7 linked regions of the Mus musculus genome follow. The protein of the gene in region 3 interacts with the protein of the main gene of each other region in a pairwise test. Links are inferred from orthologs where the notes say so. Each region holds a gene or a part of one and is shown on either strand. Other genes may lie near its edges. The genes, in order: Scnm1, Sh2d4a, Rint1, Epc1, Lmo2, 2310011J03Rik and Dcx.

The links.
Region 1: the proteins of Rint1 (region 3) and Scnm1 interact in binary tests that used the Homo sapiens proteins (3 or more experiments, as listed by UniProt). The two-hybrid records come from large-scale screens. The link is inferred for Mus musculus from reciprocal best matches to the Homo sapiens genes RINT1 and SCNM1.
Region 2: the proteins of Rint1 (region 3) and Sh2d4a interact in binary tests that used the Homo sapiens proteins (3 or more experiments, as listed by UniProt). The two-hybrid records come from large-scale screens. The link is inferred for Mus musculus from reciprocal best matches to the Homo sapiens genes RINT1 and SH2D4A.
Region 4: the proteins of Rint1 (region 3) and Epc1 interact in binary tests that used the Homo sapiens proteins (3 or more experiments, as listed by UniProt). The two-hybrid records come from large-scale screens. The link is inferred for Mus musculus from reciprocal best matches to the Homo sapiens genes RINT1 and EPC1.
Region 5: the proteins of Rint1 (region 3) and Lmo2 interact in binary tests that used the Homo sapiens proteins (3 or more experiments, as listed by UniProt). The two-hybrid records come from large-scale screens. The link is inferred for Mus musculus from reciprocal best matches to the Homo sapiens genes RINT1 and LMO2.
Region 6: the proteins of Rint1 (region 3) and 2310011J03Rik interact in binary tests that used the Homo sapiens proteins (3 or more experiments, as listed by UniProt). The link is inferred for Mus musculus from reciprocal best matches to the Homo sapiens genes RINT1 and C19orf25.
Region 7: the proteins of Rint1 (region 3) and Dcx interact in binary tests that used the Homo sapiens proteins (3 or more experiments, as listed by UniProt). The two-hybrid records come from large-scale screens. The link is inferred for Mus musculus from reciprocal best matches to the Homo sapiens genes RINT1 and DCX.

What each region holds. Positions count from the first base shown.
Region 1 is NC_000069.6:95,131,213-95,135,152, reverse strand, and holds the start of Scnm1 (sodium channel modifier 1), read left to right. Parts: upstream 1-1,140; 5' UTR 1,141-1,257; coding exon 1,258-1,308; intron 1,309-1,524; coding exon 1,525-1,595; intron 1,596-1,864; coding exon 1,865-1,953; intron 1,954-2,041; coding exon 2,042-2,136; intron 2,137-2,239; coding exon 2,240-2,328; intron 2,329-3,126; coding exon of another isoform or gene 3,127-3,166; exon of another isoform or gene 3,167-3,347; intron 3,348-3,940. Other genes in the region: Lysmd1 (lysM and putative peptidoglycan-binding domain-containing protein 1), read right to left, coding at 157-336. UniProt on the Homo sapiens protein: As a component of the minor spliceosome, involved in the splicing of U12-type introns in pre-mRNAs. Plays a role in the regulation of primary cilia length and Hedgehog signaling.
Region 2 is NC_000074.6:68,328,528-68,332,027, forward strand, and holds part of Sh2d4a (SH2 domain-containing protein 4A), read left to right. Parts: intron 1-724; coding exon 725-833; intron 834-2,507; coding exon 2,508-2,709; intron 2,710-3,500. UniProt on the Homo sapiens protein: Inhibits estrogen-induced cell proliferation by competing with PLCG for binding to ESR1, blocking the effect of estrogen on PLCG and repressing estrogen-induced proliferation. May play a role in T-cell development and function.
Region 3 is NC_000071.6:23,794,211-23,797,710, reverse strand, and holds part of Rint1 (RAD50-interacting protein 1), read right to left. Parts: intron 3,409-3,500; coding exon 3,224-3,408; intron 1-3,223. UniProt on the Homo sapiens protein: Involved in regulation of membrane traffic between the Golgi and the endoplasmic reticulum (ER); the function is proposed to depend on its association in the NRZ complex which is believed to play a role in SNARE assembly at the ER.
Region 4 is NC_000084.6:6,445,858-6,449,357, reverse strand, and holds part of Epc1 (enhancer of polycomb homolog 1), read left to right. Parts: intron 1-100; coding exon 101-453; intron 454-3,500. UniProt on the Homo sapiens protein: Component of the NuA4 histone acetyltransferase (HAT) complex, a multiprotein complex involved in transcriptional activation of select genes principally by acetylation of nucleosomal histones H4 and H2A.
Region 5 is NC_000068.7:103,973,287-103,976,786, forward strand, and holds part of Lmo2 (rhombotin-2), read left to right. Parts: intron 1-2,718; coding exon 2,719-2,934; intron 2,935-3,500. UniProt on the Homo sapiens protein: Acts with TAL1/SCL to regulate red blood cell development. Also acts with LDB1 to maintain erythroid precursors in an immature state.
Region 6 is NC_000076.6:80,317,755-80,321,836, reverse strand, and holds 2310011J03Rik (UPF0449 protein C19orf25 homolog), read left to right. Parts: upstream 1-1,288; 5' UTR 1,289-1,524; coding exon 1,525-1,654; intron 1,655-2,289; coding exon 2,290-2,489; 3' UTR 2,490-3,582; downstream 3,583-4,082. Other genes in the region: Pcsk4 (proprotein convertase subtilisin/kexin type 4), read left to right, coding at 1-31.
Region 7 is NC_000086.7:143,930,420-143,934,398, reverse strand, and holds the start of Dcx (neuronal migration protein doublecortin), read left to right. Parts: upstream 1-1,179; 5' UTR 1,180-1,329; exon of another isoform or gene 1,330-1,502; intron 1,503-3,072; 5' UTR 3,073-3,094; coding exon 3,095-3,458; intron 3,459-3,979. UniProt on the Homo sapiens protein: Microtubule-associated protein required for initial steps of neuronal dispersion and cortex lamination during cerebral cortex development. May act by competing with the putative neuronal protein kinase DCLK1 in binding to a target protein.

The sequences.
Region 1 (3,940 bases), on a different chromosome or scaffold from region 3:
AGTTGGGCAGATCTGTCCCAACAGTGCTCTGCTGAGATGTGAAAGCAAAATAAGGAAGAAAAAAAACAGACCATAATAGAATTTAAATAATGTGAGAGGGGGCATCTTAGCGGGCCACCCACTTTCTCGGGACTATCTCAATTCTGGAAGACTCACCGTTACCCCGTATTTGAGTGCTAATCCAGCCAGGGTGTCTCCAGGCTCCAATTGATGCTCCAGGCGTCTTTCCCTCACTGGGGAGCAGGATGATTGTACCAGGCTTCCATAAGAACGAGCACGGCTCCCATGCAGCAGCCCTGACCCCCCGAGGGGAGGCTGTCTAGAGGGAGAAGCCATCTCCTCACTGTCAAGACCTAGGGTCACAACTGAGGGAAGCCCAGCTAAGTAACAGTGACGGCCGAACCCAAGGAATGGATATTCAGATAATTCGTTTTCTCTTCTCTCGTCTCTCTACAGTCTCCCGACTCTCGAGAGACTACATTCGTCGTCCTCCTCTTGCTGCTTCTTGCCGTGCCTGGAGTTACTGTCCGTCTCTTAAGAAGTCTGCCAGGCCGGTTACATTTCTCTTTCCACGAGCTCCTTACCCATAAGTATCTTCCCTGAGCTGTCAGTCGCTGACCCGGTTGACTTTCGACGCCCCCTCCCCAACTCCTCGCAAGCCTGATCTCTGACCTTTGAACCCTAGACACCCTCATCAACACTCTTCCCTCAGTGTATCCCCACATCCAACAGTCGGGATGCCGGGTGCTCCCACATCCTCTCTGTTCCAAATAAGGCCCACCCCAGGTAGGTTGTGGCTGAGGAGTACGAGCCTGAGGACAGCAAGAGTTTGTAGTATATAGTCCACTGAGATCCCTGACGCCTCGCTCCACATCAGGAAGGTCCCACCCTGAAATTCCGGCTCCACATACAGGATCTTGAGTCTCCGAACACCTGGATCCTTCGAGATGTGAGGTCCTGTGTCCAGGTGAGCAGTGTGCTCTTCAAAAAAATAAAAAAATAAAATAAATAACCAAAAGACTTCATTTCCCAAAAGGCACAGCGTCTCAAAGTATTGTAGGAAATGCAGGCCCCCTCAGGGCGCTGGAGGCGGGTCTTCCGGTTCGCGCGACGCAAGCGTGGAACATCATCCCCGGAAGTACAGATTCAACAAGAAAGAAACCGGAAGCAGAGAAGGCGATAGTGTACTCTTTCTACGGTGGCCTAAAGGAGCAGCGAAGTAGGCGTAGGGGAATTTATCGTAGTCTCACAGTCGCTATGTCTTTTAAGAGGGAAGGGGACGACTGGAGTCAACTCAATGTGCTCAAAGTAAGCCTTAGTGAGAGTCTGATCACCTTCAGCCGCCCTGTTGTTTTGTTTTGTTGCTCTGGCGACATCTAGGGGAGGGCTTAGGGGACCAGAACTGAGTGGTGACCCCTACTACCCTATGATCTGCATAGCCCCGTGTGCCATTTGACTCCTTATCCATACTATTTCATTTCCATCCGTCCCTCTTACTCATTTCTCCTATCCTGCTCCCTGCAGAAACGGAGAGTTGGGGACCTGCTGGCTAGTTACATCCCTGAGGACGAGGCACTGATGCTGCGGGATGGACGGTGAGAGCGAAGAGTGGATCAAGCCTGGGGATTCGGGGATCAAAGGCTCAACAAACTTTTGTCACTAAGGAGTTCAGGAGTATAATAGGACTCTTTGGCTGGAAGTGAAGTGTAAGGGGTGGAGATCGGGAAACCTGGGAGTTGGTGGTGGAGTACTCTGACAGAAGTAGGACCTACTCACCATAGCAAGAACACCCCGACTGCAGGCTCTCGAACACACAACATACACACCACACACCACACACATCATTCACTTCTCGTTTCCCTAGCTTTGCTTGTGCCATCTGCCCCCATCGACCAGTACTAGACACGCTGGCCATGTTGACAGCCCACCGTGCAGGCAAGAAGCATTTGTCCAGTAAGTATCAGAGAAGTGGGGAGGGCGGGAGATGGAGAGCAAGCCACCAGGCATTGTGCTTTTCATTCCTCCTTGCTTTTGTTCTCAGGTCTGAAGCTTTTCTATGGCAAAAAGCAAACAGGCAAGGGAACAGAGCAAAATCCAAGACAGCAGAACGAATTGAAGACAGAAAGCAAAACTGAGGTGAGAGGGCATCAGGTGTGGTTTAGACAGGGCTATACTTCACACAACAGGCTTGAGGGAACGTTTGCTCCTAACAGCTCTAACTCTGTCTCTTCATCACCAGGCTCCTTTGCTAACCCAGACTCGAATCATCACCCAGAATGCTCTACACAGAGCTCCCCACTATAACAGTTGCTGCCGGAGGAAGCACAGGTCCGTGGAATGGGAAAGCCAGGAGTGGAAAAGGGTAGAAGGAAATAGATGACTTTAAAGTTATTGCTCTCCAGATTGTATTCTGAGAAATAATAATCTTGTGGAAATATTTTTTTTAAATGATGGTAGGGGCTGGACAGATGGCTCAGCAGTTAAGAGCACTGACTGCTCTTCCAGAGGTCCTGAGTTCAATTCCCAGCAACCACATGATGGTTCACAACCATCCATAATGAGATCTGGCGCCCTCTTCTGGGGTGTCTGAAGACAGCTACAGTGTACTCATATATATAAAAGAAATCGTAAACCATCATTTTTTCAGGTTTTTTGTTTTTTGGGTTTTTTGTTTGTTTGTTTTTTGAGACAGGGTTTCTCTGTGTAGCCCTGGCTGTCCTGGAACTCACTCTGTAGACCAGGCTAGCCTCAGAAATCTGCTTACCTCTGCCTCCCAAGTGCTGGGATTAAAGGCGTGCACCACCACTGCCCGGTGGTTTATGATTTTAAAATAAATTTTTTAGCAAGTGGAAAATTGTAGAATAATCATACTTATTAGGAACATTAGGGCTTGGTGAGATGCCTCAGTGGTTAGGAACGCAGGGGGCTCTTCCAGAAGTCCTGAGTTCAATTCTTAGCAACCACATGGTGGCTCACAACCATCCAAAAGGGATCTCTTCTGGCATGTAGGTACACATGCAGACAGAGCACTCCTATATTTTAAAAAGTGCAATAAATAAATACATTCAAAAAGAGAGAATTGTAACATTAGTAGAGCACGGTGGTGTACTTTTTGTTTGTTTGTAGCCCTGGCTGTCCTGAAACCCTGCTATTTAGACCAAGGTGACCTCATATTCACAAAGATCTGCCTGCTTCTATCCCTCAAGTGTTGGGATTAAAGGTGAGCACTCCATGCCTGGCCTTGGAAAATCTTAAGACAAAAACTTAGAACCAGCCGGGCAGTGGTGGCGACGCCTTTAATCCCAGCACTTGGGAGGCAGAGGTAAGCAGACTTCTGAGTTTGAGGCCAGCCTGGTCTACAGAGTGAGCTCCAGGACAGCCAGGACTACACAGAGAAACCCTGTCTCGAAAAACCAAACCAAACCAACCAACCAACCAAACAAACAAACAAAAAACTCTTAGAACTATGTATTAGAGCATAAGGAATATGGAAAGTTACAAAACTTATGGAATATCTGTCTATATTGAGGTAATTTATTGTAATGACTTACAGTTTGTAGTCATGTTGTTGGGTTACAACAATGGGCAGCTGTGAATGAGAAGTCTAAGAATCTAATAGTTGCTCAGTCCCACAAGGCTGGTTGTTTCAGCTGGTCTTGTATAAATAGGTTCTAAAGATGTGCTTGGCAAGTAAGTGCAAGCAGTGGAAGAAGAGTGAGTCTTCCTTCTTCCAGTGGTCTTATGTAGGCCTCCAGCAGAAGGTGTGGCCTACATTAAGGCGTGTACACCACACCTGGATCTGGGACTTGCTTTGTCCCAGGCTGACTTTGAATCAGAGTTCTCCTTGCCTCCTGGGATTAAAGGCATGTTATACCTTGCCTGGACCTAAGCTTTTCACAGCCACTGTGCCTCAAGATCTCCATGCCAAGATCCAGATCAG
Region 2 (3,500 bases), on a different chromosome or scaffold from region 3:
TCTCCTCCTCCTCCGCCTCTTCCTGCTGCTATGGCACCAGGACATTGAGCTTGAAGCTTTGCTCATGCTAGGAAACTCAGTAATAAGATTTCAGAAAGCTATTCCATGTTCCTGAGCTGAATCCATGGCCCTCTTTTAGTTTTGAGATACGGTCTTGCAAAATTGTTTGTGCTGAACTTGTACTCACTCTGTAGTGTATTTCAAAGTGTTCTAAGAAGAAAACAAAGGAAACTCATGCCATTTTGAGCCACCCCAAATCATATATCAACTTCCATGTTTGTATAGAAAGTTGGAGAACATATAGTCCCCAGCTGAGACTGCCCTTGGAAGCCTGTCAGCTTCAGCAGATCAGTGATTATGCTGGCATGTTTACTTCAGAGAAGGATATTTGAAATATCTGACTGCTGTGTCTGGGGAAGGACCGTTTAGTAAGGTCACATGCAATATATTGTGCTAAGCATTTCTGAAAACACGATGTTCACTATAACTCTGTAATGTTCTTTCCAGCTGTACTTTGGGAAAACAGCCTGTGAGAAGGTCAGGAAAAGAGCCTACAGCCCTATACTGAGGTAGCTGAAGTTCTTGCTTCAGGCCTTGCTGACACCAAGTTCCTCCCTAATGGGAGGAGACAGTTTAATAGAAGCCAGGATGCTGTCCTCTATCCTCTTAAAGACCCCGTCATACTCTTTCACCTCTTCCCAGCTCTGTCTTTATTTTCCAACAGACTAAACCCGTCAAGGAAAAAGACCACGAGGAAATGAAGCAGACAGAGGATGAGAAAACCAAGCAGATATACAAGAGCTGGAAAGAAGACTCAGAATGGCAAGCATCTCGTGAGTACCCAGGATCTCAGGAGCAACATGTAGGGTCTCAACTGGACCTGCTAATGAAAAACTATCCATGCAGGAGGCACCCACAGTGGGTCCTCGAGAAGTATCTTTCCACTGAGTGTCACTCAAATGGTATCAATAAACGCTAATTACTCAGATGCTCCGCAAGCCAGAAGGCTTCATTCATCTTTTCACCATTAAATTATAGTGTCTCTGTATGGTTAAATTACACATAGCTATGAAAACTATCATGTTGAAAACTCTTTAGTGGTTTTAAAAGTTGTCTCTTTCTTGGATAAGAAACATTATAAATAGTATAAAAACCACTATTTAAAAATTCGAAATTTTGAAGGAAGAGAGCAGGAAAGTTATTAACATGTGAACCTTGTTTTTTTGTTTTTTTTTTTTTTGTTTTTTCTTTTGGAGAAGATGGATTTTAAATTGTTTGTTTGAATTTTACTTCTTATTATTCTGTTTTGTTTTTTCCCCAAGTTCTCAATAGTGCATATACTTTTAAACAGTTTTTTTTTTTTAAAAACTGACATATCTCAGTTCTCCTTATAGGGTGACCTATGAAATGCCCACCAAATCCATGACTTTGTAACACAGAGCACACAAAATGGACAGGTGGGATATGTTTGCATCATTTTCATGTATCTCTGCCTCTGACCCAACATTGACCCTCTTTGGAGCTTGTACTGCCAGGGCCAAACCAGAAAGATCAGGATAGACAGAGGATGGGCAACCCAGGTATGAGAATAGAGTCTTCACATGCCATCAACAGAGAAGACTCACTCAATTGCCTGATAGTCCCCTGAGACTTGTAAAGAGGTGAAACCCACATAGCAAGATTTTTCTAGATGCTCAGAGTCCTAAATTAGTCTACAGTTCCTCTACAACAAATACCAAAAACTTTGGTGAAAAAAAATATTTGCAAGATACAATTTGTGGCCTTCTTGTGCTAAGCAGTGAAACTTGGGTATGATGAAATATTTTGAGTATGTTTTCAGAGTCAAACATGACAGGATTTAGCCCATAATGTCTGGAATTTTAAAAATTCAAACAAAAATCCTCCATAAAAATGAGTGATTGCATCCTGTAATAATCTTTAACACTATATGGCTAAAACATAACCCTGTCTATTTAAGAAAGAAATTAAAATTAGAAGGCAGATTGGGAAATGTGTGTGTTTACAAAGGTGTTCTGAAGTTCTCCACAATGTGTTTATGGTTAGAATCCCTTTGCTTTTTGTCTCTTTGGCCAATTCCCCTTCAGTGAAGTCTATGGTAGCCTCTGGATGTGACTTTTGACCAGCCTCTATTCTTTGTCTCTTTGACTAGTCCTCACAGCTTAGGTTTGCCAGGTGCAGTAACTTAACCTTGCTGTACATTTTCCACCCTACCACCTTCTTCTCCTTTGTCTTTCTTTTTCTTGTCTTTCCTTCTCAGAAAGTCCCTAGTTCCTAAATGCAGATAGGAATTCTGGAGCGAGTACAGGAGGGGCCTTAAAATGTGATAGTAGGTACTGGGGATGATAGTTAATATGAGCACAAAAGCAACTCTGTCTGGAGCCTTCCCAGAGTACCATGGAGCAGGGCTGAGTCTGCTGTGTCTGTGGGCTCTGAATGTGACTGTTGGCAAGCCTGGTGGGCTAACTCAGACAATGTTATCTTTCTAGTGCGAAAATCTAAGGCGGCTGATGAGAAGAGACGCTCTTTAGCTAAACAAGCACGGGAAGACTACAAGAGGCTATCCCAAAGGGGGAGGAGTGGGGACGGACTGCAGAACCCACTGACAGGTCCACAGAAGCCCAGAAGACCTCCTCTTCCTCCGAAGCCCCAGTTCCTACAGCCGCTGGGAATCCCTCCAAAGTCTTTAGGGTAAGAAGCCATACAGAGGGGTTTCATCATAAGGGCCAAGATGGACTGATTAAAACTGTGTTCCTTGGGGCATGAGATGCGGTGGATGTTGGCTCACTGCTTAAGTCAACACAGGCTTGCCTCTAACCCGGCTTCCTTGATTCCTTTCTTTCCTGTAAGTTATCTACAGTGGCTAAAGTTTGAACCCAACCACAGGGTGACGATGTCAAGGTGACTTGCTGTCCCTACCTCCATCCAGTGGCAACAGGCTGACAGAAACGAGGAGGGGGAACATGCAGGCCGAAGGGTGTTTAATGATCAGCATTGCCTCTAGAGACTAAAAGTAACATTAGGATCTTGGGCTACTTTTTATTGCTGGAGTCAAGGTTTGATGGCAGCTCTCTCCTAAGACACAGAGAGAAGATCACAGTTTCAGAATTTTGAAAGGATCCATTTTGGAACAAAGTCTCTATTTGGAGATGAAATTACATTTACCTTCTAGGGGCAACACGTGCTCGAAGATAAAAACGAAAAATTTAGTGATCTAGAAGAAAACAGCATCTTTCATGTTTACTGACTAACAAATTCTTTTTTATAACTACTGACTTATATAGAATGTTATTAATATTCTAATATTTATTTGTCTGCTTGTAGCAGGATCAAACCCAGGGCCTTTCACATGTTAGCTAAGCAGTCTGCCACTGAGCTACATCTTCTGCCCCTAAAAACTAAAAAGAATTCTGTTCAGAGTTTGGGAAAATGAAACAAACAAACAAACAAACAAACAAACAAAATTTCTGTGTTTTAATTGC
Region 3 (3,500 bases):
TCTCACAAGCGACACGCTAGCCTGGACACGGCGGCACACACCTTTATTCCCAGCACTCGGGAGGCAGGGGCAGGTGGGGCTCTGCGAGTTCCAGGTCAGCCTGGTGTACAGAATGACTTTCAAGCCAGTCAGAGCTAGAGTGATCGATCCCTCATCACCAACAAAACCGCCTGACCTAGGAGCTGGGAGAAAGTGTGCTATGGTAGCGCTCCTGACTCCTGACCATGCACAGGAATCCCCTGAAGATCTTCTCCTGATACACAGAATCCAATTCAAGGGAAGAAGAGAGAGCAGGTGAGCCCGGGCAGTGGGGATAGCAGATCTCAGTAGTCACAGAAGAACATTGTACAAGAGATAACAGGGACACTTACGGTTTAGGAGGGAGGAAGGAAGACAGGGAGCACAGATGACTGGGGTTTAGGACCAACCCCACTAGGGAGGCAAGATTCAGACTCCTAGGATACAGGGCTGGCTCGAACTTGTCAAACCAACACAAGCTAGAGTCATCTGAAAAGATGCCTCCATCAGACAGTCCTTTAGGCAAGTGTGTGGGCATTTTCTTGTTTAACGTGGAAGTGTCCAAGCCACTATGTGTAGTACCACCCCTGGGAAGGGGGAAGGTGGTCCTCAGTTATATAAAAACCAAACATTGTAAACCAAAACCACCTTTATTCCCCAAGTTACTTTTGATCACAGCATTTTATCACAGCATTAGAAAGCGAGGCCAGCCTGGTCTACAGAGTGAGTTCCAGGACAGCCAGGGCTGCACAGAGAAACCCTGTCTGGAAAAACCAAAAAAAAAAAAAAAAAAGAAAGCAAGACTTGAGTGTTGGACAGATGCAAATGCTACTAGCCACTGAGGAAACCTGTTAAGAGACAAATGAGAATAATATTGGACAATTTCAGATTTGTGGTGGTTTGAATATGTACAGTCCCCATAGATGTGAGTGAATGCTTGGCCTATGGGGAGTGGCCCTATTAGGAAGTGTGGTTTTTTTGGAGTAGGCATGCGTTTGTTGAAAGGAGTGTGTCACTGTGGGGGGTCTCCTATATTCAGTGTAGCACAGTCTCCTCCTTACTCCCTGCAGATCAAGATGTAGAACCCTCAGCTCCTTCTCCAACACCATGTCTGCCTGGACACTGCCATGCTTCCCACCATGATGATGATGGACCAAACCTGGAAGCCAGCCCCAGTTACATGCTTTCCTTTATGAGAGCTGCCTTGGTCATGGCGTCTCTCCACAGCAATGAAAGAAACCCTAGGACAAGTTTCACTTACGGACTTTAGCAAGTCTCTGTGGATTCAAGAGGTAAAAGAGCAGTGGCAAGCTAGAAAATGGAGAATGATAATAAACGCTTTTTAAAAATACCTGAACAACCAAATGAATGAACAGACACCTACTAAAAAATGAAGGGAAGGATTTTGGTTTGTTTTCTGGGGAAGACCTAAGTGTGCTCGTCTACTGAGAAGACAGGACTGTTGGTGAAGCAAAGGATAAAGCAAACTAAGGCCACTGGCTGCCAAGGTGCTGGGAAGGAAGGAGCTAGGGTGTAGGGCTGCCTTAGCACTGGCTCCTACTAGAAGACTTATGTGGGGTAGAAGTGTTTCCTCTGTCTGACAGGAACAGAGAGATCAGGGGTTGGCAGCATGTGCAAACTCCAATGGTACATATGTATGAAAATGTCATAATGAAACCTACTTATGCACTAAAAACATTAAAGATATATTTCTAAAGCCTGGGGCAGCAGGTGGTCATTCAGCAGGTAAAACATTTGCAAAATCAGCCTGATCAGCCAAGTCTGCACTCTGGAACCCCTGAGAAGGCTCCATGCTCTCTGCGTCAGTTCCCGACTCCAGGTTCCTGCCTTGAGTTCCTGGTTGGCAGTGTGCAGGCCTTGCATGCATAAGGCCCTGAGTTTGATCCTTGGGCACACAATTTGTTGGTACATGTTGAAAATCCTAGCATCCCAGAGGTGGAAGGAAGAAGACCAGAAGTTCAAGGCCCTTCTCTGCTACACAATTAAAGTCTCATCTGGGACCCTGTTTAAAACAAAAGAACTAGTTTACCTCTGAAAAGGTAAACAGATTATAAATAAGTTGGAAATATGGGATAGACTGTTAAGTCAATACATCCATGCGAGATGCTTCGCTTTTTGGTTAGAGAAGAGGTAACAGCATTTCAGCCACACAGGAAGAGGGGAAACTTCTGGATGACTGAGGACAATATAAGACTGCACGGCGAGGCTGAAGACACCTATGGTGTCAGGCCACAGATTAGGCTAGCCTTGACTAACTCAGGAGTGCGACATCCTCCACCAGAGCCTTGCAAAAGCAGAAAAGCTGAGCCATCAGGCTACACAGAGACCATCAGTAGGTATGACAGGAAAGCAGAGATGTGGAGGCCTAACTCAACCTAACTCAGCACATGGGGATGGGAGAGCATAAAGACACACCATGCCCACATATCCAGAGTTGGCTCGCCCTAATTAATTTCTTACTTATATGATAAAATATTTTCCCTTTGACAGAGTACTGCAACTATAAGACCTTCTTATCTTTAGCATAAATTATTTTCATTGGATTTCTAAAAATAAAAGCATTATATTCGTAGTAAAATGAACCCCTAAAAATGTTTAAAAGCAGAAGAAAATAACTTTTCAGCCAGCACCCAGAAACAATCATTCTTACAGTTCTCTCAGTTTTTTATTATTTTTTATGACAGGGTTCCATGGAACCCAGGATGGTCTGAAATCATCCTGTAGCTGAGGCTAGCCTTGACCTCTTGATGCATTTGCCTCCTACCTCCACGCACTGAAGTTATCAGTGTGTGCCACCACTCCGAGCAACCACTATACAATACTCATGTTTCTTTCTATCTGGGTAATTACACACACTTGGAATGGTTATGTGTAACCATTTCTGCACATTCTGAAATTACTCATAGAGTTGTTCTAGAAGTTACTGAATGAAAGAGATATACAATGCTAGCTATCATAAAGAAATTATTATATCAAAACAACATAAAATGTTAGCTATCACAGCAAGTCAGTAGGAACTCTTACTTACAAACTACATAGCAGGGGTCTTTAAAGCCTGTCTCTCAGTTTGAGGCTTGCCCTCATGGCCTGCATCGACAGTGCATGATGTGCAATACTCATAATACTGCTTATGTTCCATGTCCATGAACACAGTTGACAGAACTGCACTGAGGCTAACACTTACCTGTTCTTCTAACTTCACTTTGCTTTCTGTCATTTGTTCTATGAGTTTACCAAGTGTCTTCAAAGACTTAAGGTCACTTCCCACTTCCTTCTCTATGAATGCAGACACATAGGAAAGGAGCGCGTCGTCACTGCCACCTTGGCTGAGCTGCTCGCTTCCAGCAGGAGCTGCAGTGTTCACGTCACCTACAGAAAGGAAAAGCAGCTACTCAGCAGCACCTCGAGGCTGCCGGAGAGATACGCAGGCCAGGACACCAGAGCACCTGAGGGCTGGAGGC
Region 4 (3,500 bases), on a different chromosome or scaffold from region 3:
TTTAACTATTCAGTGTACTGGTGTTCAGCTTTAGGGGAAAGCGTTCGGAACAGAAAGGAAGAAACTTTGATGTAATCTCTGGTGTCTGCTCCTTGTACAGGGTCGTGCTGGACAGAGCGCATTCAGACTATGACAGTATGTTTCACCACCTGGATTTGGACATGCTTTCCTCACCACAACCTTCTCCAGTCAATCAGTTTGCCAATACCTCAGAACCCAATACCTCGGACAGATCTTCCTCTAAAGACCTCAGTCAGATACTAGTCGATATCAAATCATGTAGATGGCGGCACTTTAGGCCTCGGACACCATCCCTGCCTGACAGTGACAGTGGTGAACTCTCCAGTAGAAAGTTACACAGGAGTATCAGTCGAGCAGGAGCAGCACAGCCTGGGGCCCACACGTGCAGCACCTCCACCCAGAACAGAAGTAGCAGTGGCTCAGCACACTGTGGTACGTTCATCTGTGGTACCCATTGCTGTACCAGGGCGGGGCCTTCCATCTTGTTGAGGATGTGGTGTTTTATTCTCATACTGAGATGCTTAAGGATTTCTTTGAATTCTCCTCAGTAGTGCTGTTGCTCTGTGAGTTTGTGTGTGTGTATCTTTCCTTAACCACAGCCAAAAAGAGGTGGTATGTGGTATGTTAATACATATTTAATGTTTAATTTGTTACCTTAAGGCAGCCCATGAACCACAAGATTGATTTTCAAATAATAAAATAAAAGGGACCCCAAGTTGTTAGTGGTATGTACTTGAACATCTAATCCGGTCTGCTTAAATTTTGTGGCCAGTAGTCAGTAGTTACACGTGAACTTACACTGACACTCGTTCAGAATAAAGACCAGAGAAGCTGACTTAATATTTTGGAGACATTTTTAGATAATCCCTACAGGGTGACCAAAACACTGGAAACAGTGCCATGCCCTGTGACTTTCTATTTTAAACTACTGAGTCCACATTATCTGAGTTGTTAAAATTATAAAAGCTTACTGTCAGCGTGGCGCAGCAGATTAAGATCCCGAGTGCCAAGCCTGACAGCCTGAGTTCAGTGCCCAGGACCCACACGGTAGAAGGAAAGGGTCCCACTCCTTCAGTTTGTCTTCTGGCCTCTGGACATGTGCTGTGGCATGTGCATGCACACACTCATACATACATACAATAAATGAAATCTTTTGGGGTATTTTTACTGGTGGTAGTTGTTTTGGTAGGTATTCTGAAAAAGGGTTTCACTGTAGTTCTGGCTGTCCTGAAACCACTTTGTAGGCCAGGCTGGCCTTACACTCAGAGATCTGCCTGGTTCTGCTCCTGAGATTAAAGCAAGCACCACCATGCCTGGCTTATGTTTACAATATTTTAAAATCATTTCATTAAAGTTCTTTTAGGATGATTTTAATACAGATTTTCTTTTTTTTTTTTTTTTTTTTCTCTTTTTTGTTTTTTGAGACAGGGTTTCTCTGTATAGCCATGGCTGTCCTGGAAGTCACTTTGTAGACCAGGCTGGCCTCGAACTCAGAAATCCGCCTGCCTCTGCCTCCCAAGTGCTGGGATTAAAGGCTTGCGCCACCACCACCCGGCTAATACAGATTTTCTAAAAGAGGATTGTTTCCCTAATTACATAATTAGGTTACAATTAAAGTGTTTTTGATTGATAGATAGATAGATATTTATTTACACTTAAAATGTTATCCCCTTTCCTGGTTTTCCCCTCTGAAGACCCCCTATCCCCTCCCCTCCCCTCCCCCCTGCTCACCAACCCAACCATTCCTGCTTCCTGGCTCTGGCATTCCCCTACACTCAGGCATAGAACCTCCACACAGGGCCAAGGGCCTCTCCTCCCATTGATGACCGACTAGGCCATCCTCTGCTACATATGCAGCTGGAGCCCTGAATCCCACCATGTGAACTCTTTGGTTGGTGGCTTAGTCCCTAGGAGCTCTCGGGGTACTGGTTAGTTCATATTGTTGTTCCTCCTATGGGGCTACAAACCCCTTCAGCCACCTGGGTACTTTCTCTAGCTCCTCCATTGTGTACCCTGTGCTCAATCCAATGGTTGGCTGTGAGCATCCACCTCTGTATTTGTCAGGCACTGGTAGAGCCTCTCAGGAGACAGCTATATCAGGCTTCTGTAGTTTGGGGGACTTTAATGATTGTAATTCCACTAATTTTACTACTCTTTTTCTGTCCTGGATAGTCCTTAAAGTCAGGCTGAAGAGCTGGTGTAGTGAAGGCTTAACTGACACAGGTGTGGGGAGTTCAAAAGTGGAAACTCTTAATTGGTTCCCCAAAAATATTTTTGAAGATGTATGAAATTTTTTTGAGATTTTTATGGAGAAAGTAGCTATGTTCTATCAACCCACATCATGTCGCTCCTGTGGTGGAGACACTGAAGAGCATGACAGACCTCCAGATTGCATTTCAGTCTATGGAACGAGGTGTGCTGGCATGACTTACAGAGGCATGTCAGTGCCAGTTGCAAACTTTGCTGATTTGTCTCCCAAACATCATTAAAAGGTAGACATTAGCAAAAGTTACCCAAAAAAGCCTTTCATAGTTATGCAGCTTTTCTCCATAATCATCATTTGATAGTAGGGCCTTTTTAAATAATATGTTTATTTTCAAATATACTTAGAGAATAAATGCCTACAGGCTACCATAGAGTTACACTCTGTTTTCTTATTGGGATAGATATTCATGAGATCTGAGGCCCTCTCTGTGGCTCTACAAATTATGTCATATGTGCATTTAACATAAGTGAGGTCTGCTAGCTGCCCCTGAAGACAGAAAAGACAATCCAGCTATTTGCTTGTTACATGGGAGTCGAAGTGTTCTCCAGAGACAGCCTAGATCTGCCGAGGGTCTCATGAGTGTCAGCCAGGTCCTCTCCAAAAGCATCAGCAGGCTAGATCTTAGCTGTGCTGACTCTGCCATCCTGTCAGATGGACAGGAGTCAGCTTCAAATGTAACCACTTCTGATTATTCAGTTACTGACTCTGATTGAATCGAAACTTACAAGTGATGCACACCCCCACCAGGCTCCTTTTCTAAGTAGTTATTAGTGAATTGTATACACATTTTTTAATAGGAAATTCCAACTGAAGGTACCAGGAGTGTACTCACTTCCTCAAAGAGTGCCCAGTTGTAAGGCTTCTCACTGCTCGGGGTCCCTTCAGCTTGCTACTCAGTCTTGGCCATTTCACAACTCTGCACCCATGGAGGGTGTTCTGAGTAGGGTGTGAGGTAGCCTCCAAGAAGGTAATGTAAATGCTGTGTCCCCTTTGTCCTGTGTGTCAGAAGGGGAGCTTGGGGAGACTTAGTGATGGGGACTTTGAATGTCTAGGGCTAGATCTACATAGGGGTAGGATAAATTGTTTTTAATGATCGTTAGTTAATACATGATTTGGACTGGTTTCAAATAGTTTTCTGGGCTTTTATTAAGCTATAATAGCATCTTTTCAGTGTTTGCTCAGTGGTTGAGAATCCATCTGTTCTGTGCATTTG
Region 5 (3,500 bases), on a different chromosome or scaffold from region 3:
CAAGGATCTTAGTTAACTTTCAAATATGAGGATGGATGCCTTATATATACCCTATAGAAACAAAGGCTCTAGTAGGAACCTGACAGGGTTTCTCTTTGTAGTTCTGGCTGTCCTGAAACTCACACTGCAGCCCAGGCTGGCCTCAAACTCAGAAATCCACCTGCTTCTGCCTCCAGAGTGCTGGGATTTTTAGGTGTGTGCCACCACTGCCTGGCAACTTCTAGTGTATTATTAAAACGATTTAAGGTCTTAGCCCACCTCACCCATAATTCTGTATACATGAGAGACTGGGGCAGAAGAATGGAAAGTTCCAGGACAACCTGGGCAATTTAGTGAGATCTTGTCTTAAACTTTAAAAGGAAGGAAAGGGTTTTCGAGCTGCCTCAGCTGCTAAAGGTGCTTGCTCTAAGTCTGATGACCTGAGTTTGATTCCTGGAACCCATGTGAAGGGAAGAGAGAACCGGAATACAGCTCAGTGGTTAAGAGCATCCCCTGCTCTTACATGGGACCCAGGTTGGATTCCCAGCACCCATACTGGGTGGCTCACAACCCTCTGTAACCCCATCTCTAGGGTATCTGAGGCCCATGGCCTTCTGGGGCACCTGCCCTTGTGTGCATCTTCACCCTTCCCCCCCCCCCACACACACACACATACAATTATAAATAAAAATAAACCTTTAAAAACAATATAAACAAACAGAATTGAGAAAGAAGTCAGTGGTGGAGCACTTACCTAAAGCGACTAGGGACCTGGGTTTGATCATCAGTACTGAAACAACAAACAAACAAACAACACCTAAAACCTGACTTGATCTTTGTTTTTCTCAAAGAAACTGACCTGAGCTTCAAACTTCCTGGTTCTAAAAGAAGATACTCTTATATTTTGTGCTAAAATGGTGGGTTTGGCATTAGCATTTAGCTAAATATTGACAACGGATGCTTAATAGTCTCCTAGATAGGGTCACCTGTAGATGCTGGAGTGCCCTATAAACACTCATTCCCTGAGTCTCACTGTCCCCAACTATAATGAAGCTGGGCTTCATGGGTACAGGCCAATTACGCCACAAGGTCATTTGGTAAAAGTGCCAAATAAAACTAAGAGACACAGACATATCACCTAGGGTACTCAGGAGGAAATTCCATTGGAGATTTCATAATAGGAATAAAAACCAATTAAAAAAATTTTTATACTAGATTTTTTTAAAAGCAGGTTTTATTTGAACAGTGTTCCAGGAACACATATTACAAATTAACAAGCATTAAGTATCCCCTGTCTCCTATCTGACATCACATTCATTTCTTCCATGCCGTTTTCTCTCAGTAAAGTTATTTCTTACATGTAAAACAAAAGTGGTCAGGTTCCAGGGAGGCAAAGCAAGCAGAAGGCCCTATGTGTGACTTTAAAGCAAATTTTTACATTAGTGTGTGTGTGTGTGTGTGTGTGTTTATCTATGTGCATGGATAGAACAGCCTGCTGTAATTGGCTCTTTCTTTCCGCTGTGTGTGTCCTGGGGACCACATCAGATCATTGGGCTTGGTGGCAAGCACCCTCACCTCCTAAGCATCTTGTGATCCCCTACATAACACTTTTTAAATGAAAGAACACATCCCTCAGGCTCACTGTGAACACCGTGCCTGGATTGAGACTTTGGTATCAATTTAATTGCCTTCCACTCTCTTTTAAATCCATTGTTTGGCCCCCTCCTCCACTCTCTTTACTAATTTGATTTTATTCAAACTACTTTTGCTGTGGTGAAAAAAGTTTGAAGGAAAAAAAAAAACCACATCACCACTATCCTCTGTCTGTTTAAGAGCTGCATCGTGACCTAGATTTCCTGCCAGAGTCATTCAGATCTTGTACTTCTTTGAGACAGTGTCTAACGCAGCCCAGAGCCTCCGGATGATGCTGATAAACTTGCCATCCTGCTCCTCCAGGTTCCACCTCAGGATGGACTGGGTGTATGTCCCCACTTTAGGTGGTACTGGAGAAATGACCGTTGGGCCTCTGACATGTTGGGCTGTCTCTCTACCTATGAAACCGAATCTCCATCCAAAGACTCATGCAGGATGTATGGAAGAATGCAGAACTTCAATCGGAATAATCAGATATTGACGGAACTTTCTGTTTGGGGAAGAGAAGGCAACCAAATATAATTTCGATGGCTTTCTTCCTTCTCTACCTTTGATTCTGTGCAGCGGGAAGGTCTTTGTAGGGTGCATTCAACAGGTTATCTGTAGATTGTTAGCACACTGGGGGGGGGGGGGGTCATCAGATGCTTTGGCTGTGAGCAACTCCTTTGGTCCCAAGTCTATTCTTTGGGATTCTTTGGCAGTGCCTGTGTCCAAAGAAAAAAGGGAGGGAGGGCTGGGAAGATGGAGGAGAGTAGGAGGGGAAGGAGGAAGAAGCAGATTGGATCAGAGGTGCCTGCAGAGATGCTGGAATGTAGTCAAGGGTCCAAGGGCTATCTGTAGGTGCCTTGGACACCTCCTGGTATCCCGTCTTCAGTTTTTCAGATGATAAGGTCTCTCTAGCCCACTCCCGTCTTTATCCAAGGTTGTCTGTGTCTATGCAGTCTGAATTTGGGCGTCCTTTCTCCTTATACTGCTGGAAGGAAATGTAGTGAGGTTCCCCATAGAACCTTGGGCATGCAGTGATTCCTGGGACTTTGTGCTTGTCTCCCTTCAGGCAGCATATCCTAATGCTTGGCTCTTCCCCAGGGAACCCGTGGATGAGGTGCTGCAGATACCCCCATCCCTGCTGACATGTGGTGGCTGCCAGCAGAACATAGGGGACCGCTACTTCCTGAAAGCCATCGACCAGTACTGGCATGAGGATTGCCTCAGCTGTGACCTCTGTGGGTGTCGGCTGGGAGAGGTGGGGAGGCGCCTCTACTACAAGCTGGGACGGAAATTGTGCAGGAGAGACTATCTCAGGTATATCCCTCACACTTCTGGGGCACATCCGGGGTTGGATACATAGTCTCTAGCTCCTGAGGTGTCTGCCTAAGGGGCCTAGGCTGTGGAGGCTGAGCTTCAGCTGCCTCTTCAGAGAAGCCGTGAGTTCTTCCTCTACTGTGGCTATGTTTGCAGAGACACATCACTGCATGGTAAATCACCAATGTTTTTAAAGGTAAGAGAATAAAAAACACGGAATTCAGAATAAGGACAAAATTCTGGGGGTGGGGGCAGACCAAAGGATAGGGTTTGGAGAAGTGTACGTAGGGAAATATCCAGGGAACTAGGGGAAGAGAGAATTCATTTATAAGTTTCTTGGGTGGGTTCTCATTTAGTACTCAATAAGCATATGCATATGTGTAGATAGTCTTTTTTTTTGTTTTGTTTTGGTTTTTGGTTTTTGGTTTTTTGAGACAGGGTTTCTCTGTATAGCCCTGGCTGTCCTGGAACTCACCTTGTAGACCAGGCTGGCCTCAAACTCAGAAATCCGCCTGCCTCTACCTCCCAAGTGCTGGGATTAAAGGCGTGCGCCACCACGCCCGGCA
Region 6 (4,082 bases), on a different chromosome or scaffold from region 3:
CCCTCCTGTTACACCTGCTGCAGCAGCCTGAGCAGCGACTACACTGCCTGTCCCCTGTCCCTTGTGTTGGGAGAGCTCCAGAGCCCCTCCAAGGCTTGCCACCTCTGGTGGCCCCCCAGCTACCAGTCTTGGGCCATGGTGCTGGCTCTGCTGGCCAGGGCCTTTGGGAGGCCCCTCGGCTTGAGGAAGGCCCACCTGCCCCAGGCTAGATACCCCAGTGCCCAAAACCATGCATGCACAGATCCCTGGAGGCTGGAGAGCCAGAGATGCCTGGCTGTCAGGACAGAAGGCCGGTACCCCAAGGTCCTGCTCTCAGGCTGGAAGAGAAGCCTGCCCCAGAAGGCCAGGGCAGAGCAGCTGCATGGGTCAGGTGACAGCCCACCGCTCAGCCTCAGCTGCTCCCAGTGGAAGAGATGTGTCCTTACTCATTTTGGAGCAGGTACAGTGGGCAAGAGGTCAGACCACAGCCACCAATCATCTGCCCCTTCCCTGTCTCCAAGCCATCCATAGCCCCATGTCTAACCTCATAGTTGCCAAATAAAAGTTAAACAGAAGATGTCGAGTTTATGGTGTCCTTGAGGGTAGGGTGGGCCCCTGGAGGAATAAGGACCCACAGAGGAAGACTGCTCTGAGCCCAGATCTGCCAAGTGCTGAATTACCATACAGCCATGAACAGGAAGCTAGCTCGCTCCCCCATCCCCCACTGGTTTTTTTTTTTTTTTTTTTTTTTTTTTGGTTTTTCGAGACAGGATTTCTCTGTTTAGCCCTGGCTGTCCTGGAACTCACTTTGTAGACCAGGCTGGCCTCAAAAATCTACCTGCCTCTGCCTCCCGAGTGCTGGGATTAAAGGCGTGCGCCACCACTGCCCGGCTTTCCCACTGCTCTTTTGAGACAGGGTCTCACTGTGTAGTCCTGGCTGTTCTGGGATTCCCCATATTGACCAAGATGATCTTGAACTCACAGAGGTCTGCCTGCCTCTGCCTCACAGTACTGAGATTAAAGTACTGAGTTAAAGGTCTACCACAAGGAAGCAAAGCCTGTGGCTAGGTTCCATCCAGCATTTATTGAGCGCCCACTGTGTACCTGGCAATGGTTGTACACTGATTACTCTCGAAATCACGTTCACCCCTTTCCTCCCACCACACGCGGTGAAGGAGGGCAGAGTTCCTTCTGATCTTACTGGATAGCAACTAGGAGCATCTAGGCTTAGGGCTCTTTAAGACGGGGGAGGGGTTTCGCGAGGCGTGGCGCTGGAGTGGACCGGAAGTGCCGGAACGTAGTGGCGTTCAAGCAGGAAGCGGAAGCGGTGGCGGCCGCCTAGGTTCTTGGAACGAAGATAGGCAGCGGGGTGTTCCAAGAGCAAACTGGCGCGGAGATCGAGCCAAACTCCGAGGTTCCGGGAGGAGGGAAAGCGAGACGGGGTAGGGACCTCGGCGCAGGTCTGTAAGGGGTGCGTAGGAGTTCGCGAGGTGGGCGGGCCGAGCCGAAAGTGGACCCCCAGTTAGCGCGCGCTCCACCTACAAGATGAACTCCAAGGCGAAGAAACGCGTGGTACTGCCCACTCGCCCCGCGCCTCCCACGGTGGAGCAGATCCTGGAGGACGTGCGAGGGGCACCCGCTCAAGATCCTGTTTTCACTGCCCTGGCCCCGGAAGGTAGGAGAACGTGAGACTCCCGAGTGGGGAGCAAACCGACTGCAGGGACGAATCTTTTTTGTCCCTGCCCTTCTCTTCCCCTGCAAAGAAAGATCATCAGAAATAAAATTGAAAGTGCTCCGAACTCTTGGGAGGCAGAGGCAGGCGGATTTTTGAGTTCGAGGCCAGCCTGGTCTACAGACTGAGTTCCAGGACAGCCAGGGCTACACAGAGAAACCTTGTCTCGAAAAACAAAAACAAAAAAAAGTTGAAAGTGCTGCCAACCCGGGTCTAGGGCAAGAGGATTGCTGTGAGTTCAAGACCTTGTCTCAGAGGGGCGTGGCCAGCTGCTCCTACAAATTAATGGGGGGCCAGAGTACTTGCAGGGGCCATATCTGCGACTCCTGGCCTAGGATCCAGGAATCCAGGCAGTCCTGGGTAGAACGGCAGGCCAGGGTGGCTGGAGGTGTCCTGTCCTCTCCATGACACCAAAACCTGAAACTGAGTCTTGTTTTCTAGTGCCTAATAGGCCTATATAGCCCAGGCTGGCCTCGAACTCACCATGTAGCCAAGGATGACCTTGAACCACTGATCCTCTTGCCTCTGGGTTGGTGGATGTCAGGCCTGGGGATGGTGACACTGTTTCTTCTCTTCAGACCCCCCAGACCCATCCCCAAGGGCTGAGGACTCTGAGATCCAGCAGGAGCAGATCTACCAACAGAGCCGGGCCTACGTGGCTATGAATGAGAGGCTGCGGCAGGCGGGGGAAGCTCTGAGACAGAAGTTCGATGGCCTTCGGCAAGCTGGTCAGCGGCTGGAACAGGATATCAGCCAGGTGACTTCAGCCACCTCCTAGAGCCGAAGTTACACCTGATGTCCTTGGTCCAGGCCTGGGCACCTAGCAACCAGAGGCTCTGGGTCAACATTTGCTGTCCCAACCCTGGCCCGGGGAGACCCAGTGGCCCACCTTGCCAGCTAGCAGCTTTGTTCCCTCTTCCATCCTTAATGGCCTCTAATTCATGATGGGACTTAGGGACATGGCCACCTCCTCATTATGGGGACACTGGCCTAAATTGCATCAAGGACTTGATTGCAGGTCGGGGCTCAAAGCCAGTCTGCCCCATAGTGACCGGTGTGCTCTTCTGTCCCATGTCACCCTGGGCAGTGAAGGTCTTCATCCCCAGCATCCACAGCAGGCCAGCCACTGGCATCTTGGTTGAGAGAATGGGCTAGCTGCACGCTTCATAGAGCCTGGCTCAGGCCCTCTAGGGCTACACTGCCTTCTCAGTTCTCCCTGGGGCCGGGGAGACTCATCAAGGGAGTTTCCATTCTGGGGAGCCCAGGGGTCCAAGAGGAACTCAAAGGCCAGGTCCCTGTGTGTGGTGAATGTTGCCCCTTCTGGATCTGGGGTTTAGTTTGCCTTCTTGCAGAAGACCCACCACTCTTGGGGTGGCTGGACTTTAGTTCTGGAAGATTAAAGATGTTTGATGCCTGAACACAGTTCTCCCTTAAGCCAGGCTAGATCACTGGGTACCCAAGCCCCCTGCCACCCCTTGGCAGCTCAGGCGCTAGCTACCACACCTGCCTCCTTGGGTCCCAAGCTGGCTGGAACTGTTTTGTCAGAAGTGGCCTTAGCTTGTGGCTACATCATTCCTGACACTCCACATTCCTGGCGGTCACGGGGTCCAACTTGCCCTGACCAGTGCAGCTTGGACTCCTGGTCCCCACCTCCACCATGACACCTCCACCACAAATGACCAGTGGCTGATGGCCAGGTACAGCTTGGCTGAACCTCAGTCAACCTCGGCTCCAGCATGTGGGGATGTGACACGCTGTCGAGTCAGTGGGGAGCTCAGAAACACCTTCTGGGGTTGAACAGAGCTGTAGAAGAAGGTCTTGGAACGACCCCCCCCCCCCAGAGCCAGTGATAAAGATGAAGCTACAGATCGATGGAGTGGCTCGCTTTATTAAAGATATGAACAAGAATCAGAAGCCAGGCAGGGTGTCCACTCGGGGGTCTGCGTGGGGGGTCGGGGGTCAGTATGTACAGAAGTGTAACACTGTAGTAGAACAGGGCGGGAGACGGTATGGCAGCAGAGGACACACTGACCAGGTATGAGCAAGGGGTGACATTGGCCAGGGACAGCGACAGACACACACACACACACAGTGAGGTAACTGGTAGGCATGATGCCCTGGTCAAGCACCCAGTGGTTAGTCTCCGGTAGACCACTGGTGTCCAGCTCAGAGCGCTAGCAGCCATCGGCAGCCTGGCGGCTAGCAGACCCCTCCTGCTCTGAATCTAAGGGCTCGTCAGCTCTTGCCTACCCTGGGCTGGATGTCACACTGTGTCCTGTGTCCCCCACTGTCTGGGGTGAAGAAGGCAAATGTGGCTGCTGGGCCCCCAAGGCTGGCAGGATGGGAGGAGGTGGCTGGGAGAAAGATGGCC
Region 7 (3,979 bases), on a different chromosome or scaffold from region 3:
CTCCCTAGAGCCTATGACCTCCAAAGACATAGTAGCTTTTAACCAGTTGTATAGAACCAGAAGATTCCACTCTACGGACTAGACCTCAATTCCCAATCTTTAAAACACACTTCCCTTCTTAGGTGCTGCTTTCCCTTTTTTGATGTCTACACACACACACACACACACACACACACACACACACACACACACACACACACTATAAGCTAAAGTCCCATATGAAAGAAAGAAAATAAATCCTTTTGTCTCTCTCAGCCTCGGATACTTCACTCAGTATATCATTTTCGGTTCCACACAATTTCTTGCAAATCTCATAATTTCACATTTTACTGATGGGTGATTAAAATCATGCATATATCTTGCATTTTCATTACCCATTCATCTGTTAACAGACATCTGGGCTGTTTCTATTTTCTGGCTTTTGTGAATAGAGCAGCCATAAACACAGATATGCAAGTGTCTCTATGGTAGGTTATAGTCTCCTTTGGGTATATGCCCAGGAGTGGGAAGGTGAAACATTAACCAATGTTTTACATCAGTCTAAAATGTTTTGGAGTCATGCTGGGCCTAGAGACCTAAGTGCTGGCAAATTCTAGTAGCCAAGAAGCAGAACAGAGGCTGAAAATTTTCAGCAAATGAGAGGTCAGCCTGGGCTACACAGCGAGTTCCAGAACAACTATCACTATAAAGCTGGACCCTGACTCGATAAAACAACTGAACAAAAACTTGGAGAAGTGCCACTTTTCAATTCCAGCCTTCATGATTCCTGCAACTATTTTCCCGTGTACTGTCAATTTACTATTCCTGCTGACTTCGTTTAAAAAACAACCAGTGTTGGATGCATGAGCCGAAATGTTAAAAAATTTACATATTTTTTATTTTCTTTGAAGAAGATAAAAAGAGGAGATCTGTAATTTCTAAGAAACTTGATTTGGCCTGCTGAGTCCAGCCACTAGGCAGAAGGTTTTAGCCAAGTAAAATTGCCAATTTTCTAAGAGAAAGGGCTAGCACATTGCTCATTAGAGCATTCTGAGCTTGCCTGTGCAATCTTTTTTTTCCTACCCTGCAATTTCCTGTGCGTTATAAACGAAACCTTTCTAGCTGTTAATGCAGGCTGTGAATTGAAGAAAAAAAAGCATGTAATTAATCATAGGAGGTTGGGGGTGTTCGCTAAGCTTCAGTTACAGGGGAGAAGCTGGACAAGGCACTAGGACCTAGAAGGCAACTATCCACCCTGGCAGGAATTTCTTGCTTGGAGCTCAGACAACAAAGGCATAGAGAGATTGGTTTTCTTTCTCTCAGCATCTCCACCCAACCAGCAGAAAACCGGTGAGTGGGGCTTTCGAGTGATTTTCAAGCAGAATGTAACAGATGTCAACCGGGAAAGCACAAGGCACACGGCTTTCTTTCTCTGTGTGTTCGCCTCTTTCTTCTCTTTTATTTGCCTTATTCTATAGGATTTTTGTCCTCTAAGATTCTACCTGGGATTTTCCTTTGGAAAAGTGAGTTTGTTGTTCCTTTGTTTTCACTATGATGCTAATTTAGAATAATAGCACTTCTGATTCTAAAGCATAGCTTTATTTGCACAGCCTGCCTGGGGAAAATGCTTGCTACTCATCTTGAGGAGGTGGGCTCTTACTACTGCAGGTTGTCTGACAGAGACAATGCTGAGCTCAGCATAGGTCATGGTGACACTGGAAAAAAAGGGGGTACTGAGCCTGGCAAATATACCAACTACCAGTCCTCCTTTATCTCCTTTCTCCCTGGTTTCTTGCAAATCTCGATGTGGCAGTATATATATAGCAGCTGAGCCCTCTTGCTTTGTGAGTCTTTTTCCCCCCATTTGTGAGATGAATGTTAATAGTTTGGTTTCTTGGATGTCACATTACCTTTGTAAGGGGTTAGGGCTTTGGTTGTATTATTGGGTTGCATGTTTTCATTGTTTTGGACGTTTTTTTTTCTGGTGGGGGACGGGTTCAGGGGGGTTGAAATCCAAGCTTGACAGATGACTTTTTTTTTCCCTCCATCAATACACCTAAGCAATAGACAAGTTTGAAGTGAATTGCCTGCTTCGAGGGCAAAATATTCCTTCAGTCAGGGGAGAAACCCAGAACAATGAAAGGTGTACCTACTTGGAAAGGTCCCATGTGCTATTCAGGGACCCATTTGGGAATCTTTCCACAATTATTCCATTAAGAGGTGTTGCTGCATTCATTGGTCGGGGAGGGGATGAAACACCTGAAAGGAGAAAAAGGATTCTGTGATCAAATGGAAATGAAAGGGAAGCAGAGCTAATAGCTTGCTAAATAACTGGGTTTTTTCGACAATCCCTCCCCCTTTTAGACCCCAGCTTATTTCTTATGGATGCCGTATAGCGGCACCAGCTTGATGGGGAGAGGGTTTGATGAATAGCACAAAGGCACTGGGTATTCCCTGGAGGCTGTCCCTTTAAAAGAGAATCCTAGTTTATTCTGGGGGAGGGGATACACATATTAGAGCAGGCAAAAAAGGACAAGGAATAAAAGTAATTCACCCCCTTCCTAGCCATTGTATTGAGATGCAAAGGCTGCTTCCTACAGGAGGGTGCTAACCTTGGCTAGCTCCCTCTGTTTCTCTTTGAGGGAATTTAGTCAGGCTATGGATTCATTTACAACTGTTAGTCATGTGGCCATGTGTGAAGGAGCAGATGCCAGTTTTAATGTATTTTGCCCGAAGTTACAATTTGATAGGAGCCACTGTCAGGAAGCTCCAGGTTTTTAAGCTATTTCAACACGCCCTCCCCAAATTGGAACAGTGCCAAAAGTGCCACCCTTTCTATCTCTTCCTCCTATCCCCCTCCCCACCATTCAGTCCTCAGCCTACTGCCCAGCCCCCTCCTTCTTCTCTATTAAGATCAATATTCCTGCAGGTCAGGGACAAGCAGCAGATGGGTCACAGGCTTTTTTCAACCAGTTCTTTTCACAGGCAGCAGATTGCAGCTCTGGATCTGGCTAATATTTTAATTCTCCCCCCTCCCTTATCCATCCTTATTCTTTGCCTCTCCTTATCTCCACCCTTTTCTCTAACAATCAGGTTGCTGTGGTTCCACCAAAATATGGAACTTGATTTTGGACATTTTGACGAACGAGACAAAGCATCTAGAAATATGAGAGGGTCACGGATGAATGGACTTCCAAGTCCCACTCATAGTGCCCACTGTAGCTTCTACAGAACCAGAACCTTGCAGGCATTAAGTAATGAGAAGAAGGCCAAGAAGGTACGTTTCTACCGCAATGGGGACCGTTACTTCAAGGGGATTGTGTACGCTGTTTCTTCTGACCGTTTTCGTAGTTTTGATGCGTTGCTGGCTGACCTGACCCGATCCTTGTCTGACAACATTAACCTGCCTCAGGGAGTGCGCTACATTTATACCATTGACGGATCCAGGAAGATTGGAAGCATGGATGAACTGGAAGAAGGTAATTCAAGTAGTGAGTAGTGGGGTGGTGGCCCCTAGAGGGAAAGGACATCCTCGCTTATGGTTACATTTTTAGTCTTCCTTGAAAGAAACTAGGCTATTTGTTTGCTAAAACATCAAGTTGACTGATGCTCAGGCTTCTGATCCCAAAGTCACCACCAGGATCCTTAACTGTCATTCCTCATGGGGTTCCATCTCTGCTGAGGTTGACATGAATATGGGTTTTCTAATGCTAAATGTGCTTATCTACCTGGGTATACAAAGGAAACTCTGAATTGTGACACTCACTCTAGGTGTTGTTTATGGGTAACTCTGTATAGCACCTTCAAAGCAGGCCATGAAACCATTAGGGGAAAGAAGAATGTATGGTTGGTTTAACAGATAAAAAAATGTGCCCAAGTGTCCTATGGACTACTGATAAATTATTTGGGAATTGCCATTCATTAGAAATACGTACCCCAATGTAGGAATTCCTAGATGTGTTCACAGAGGATTAGACTTTTAGGTAAGTGGTTGCGGCTC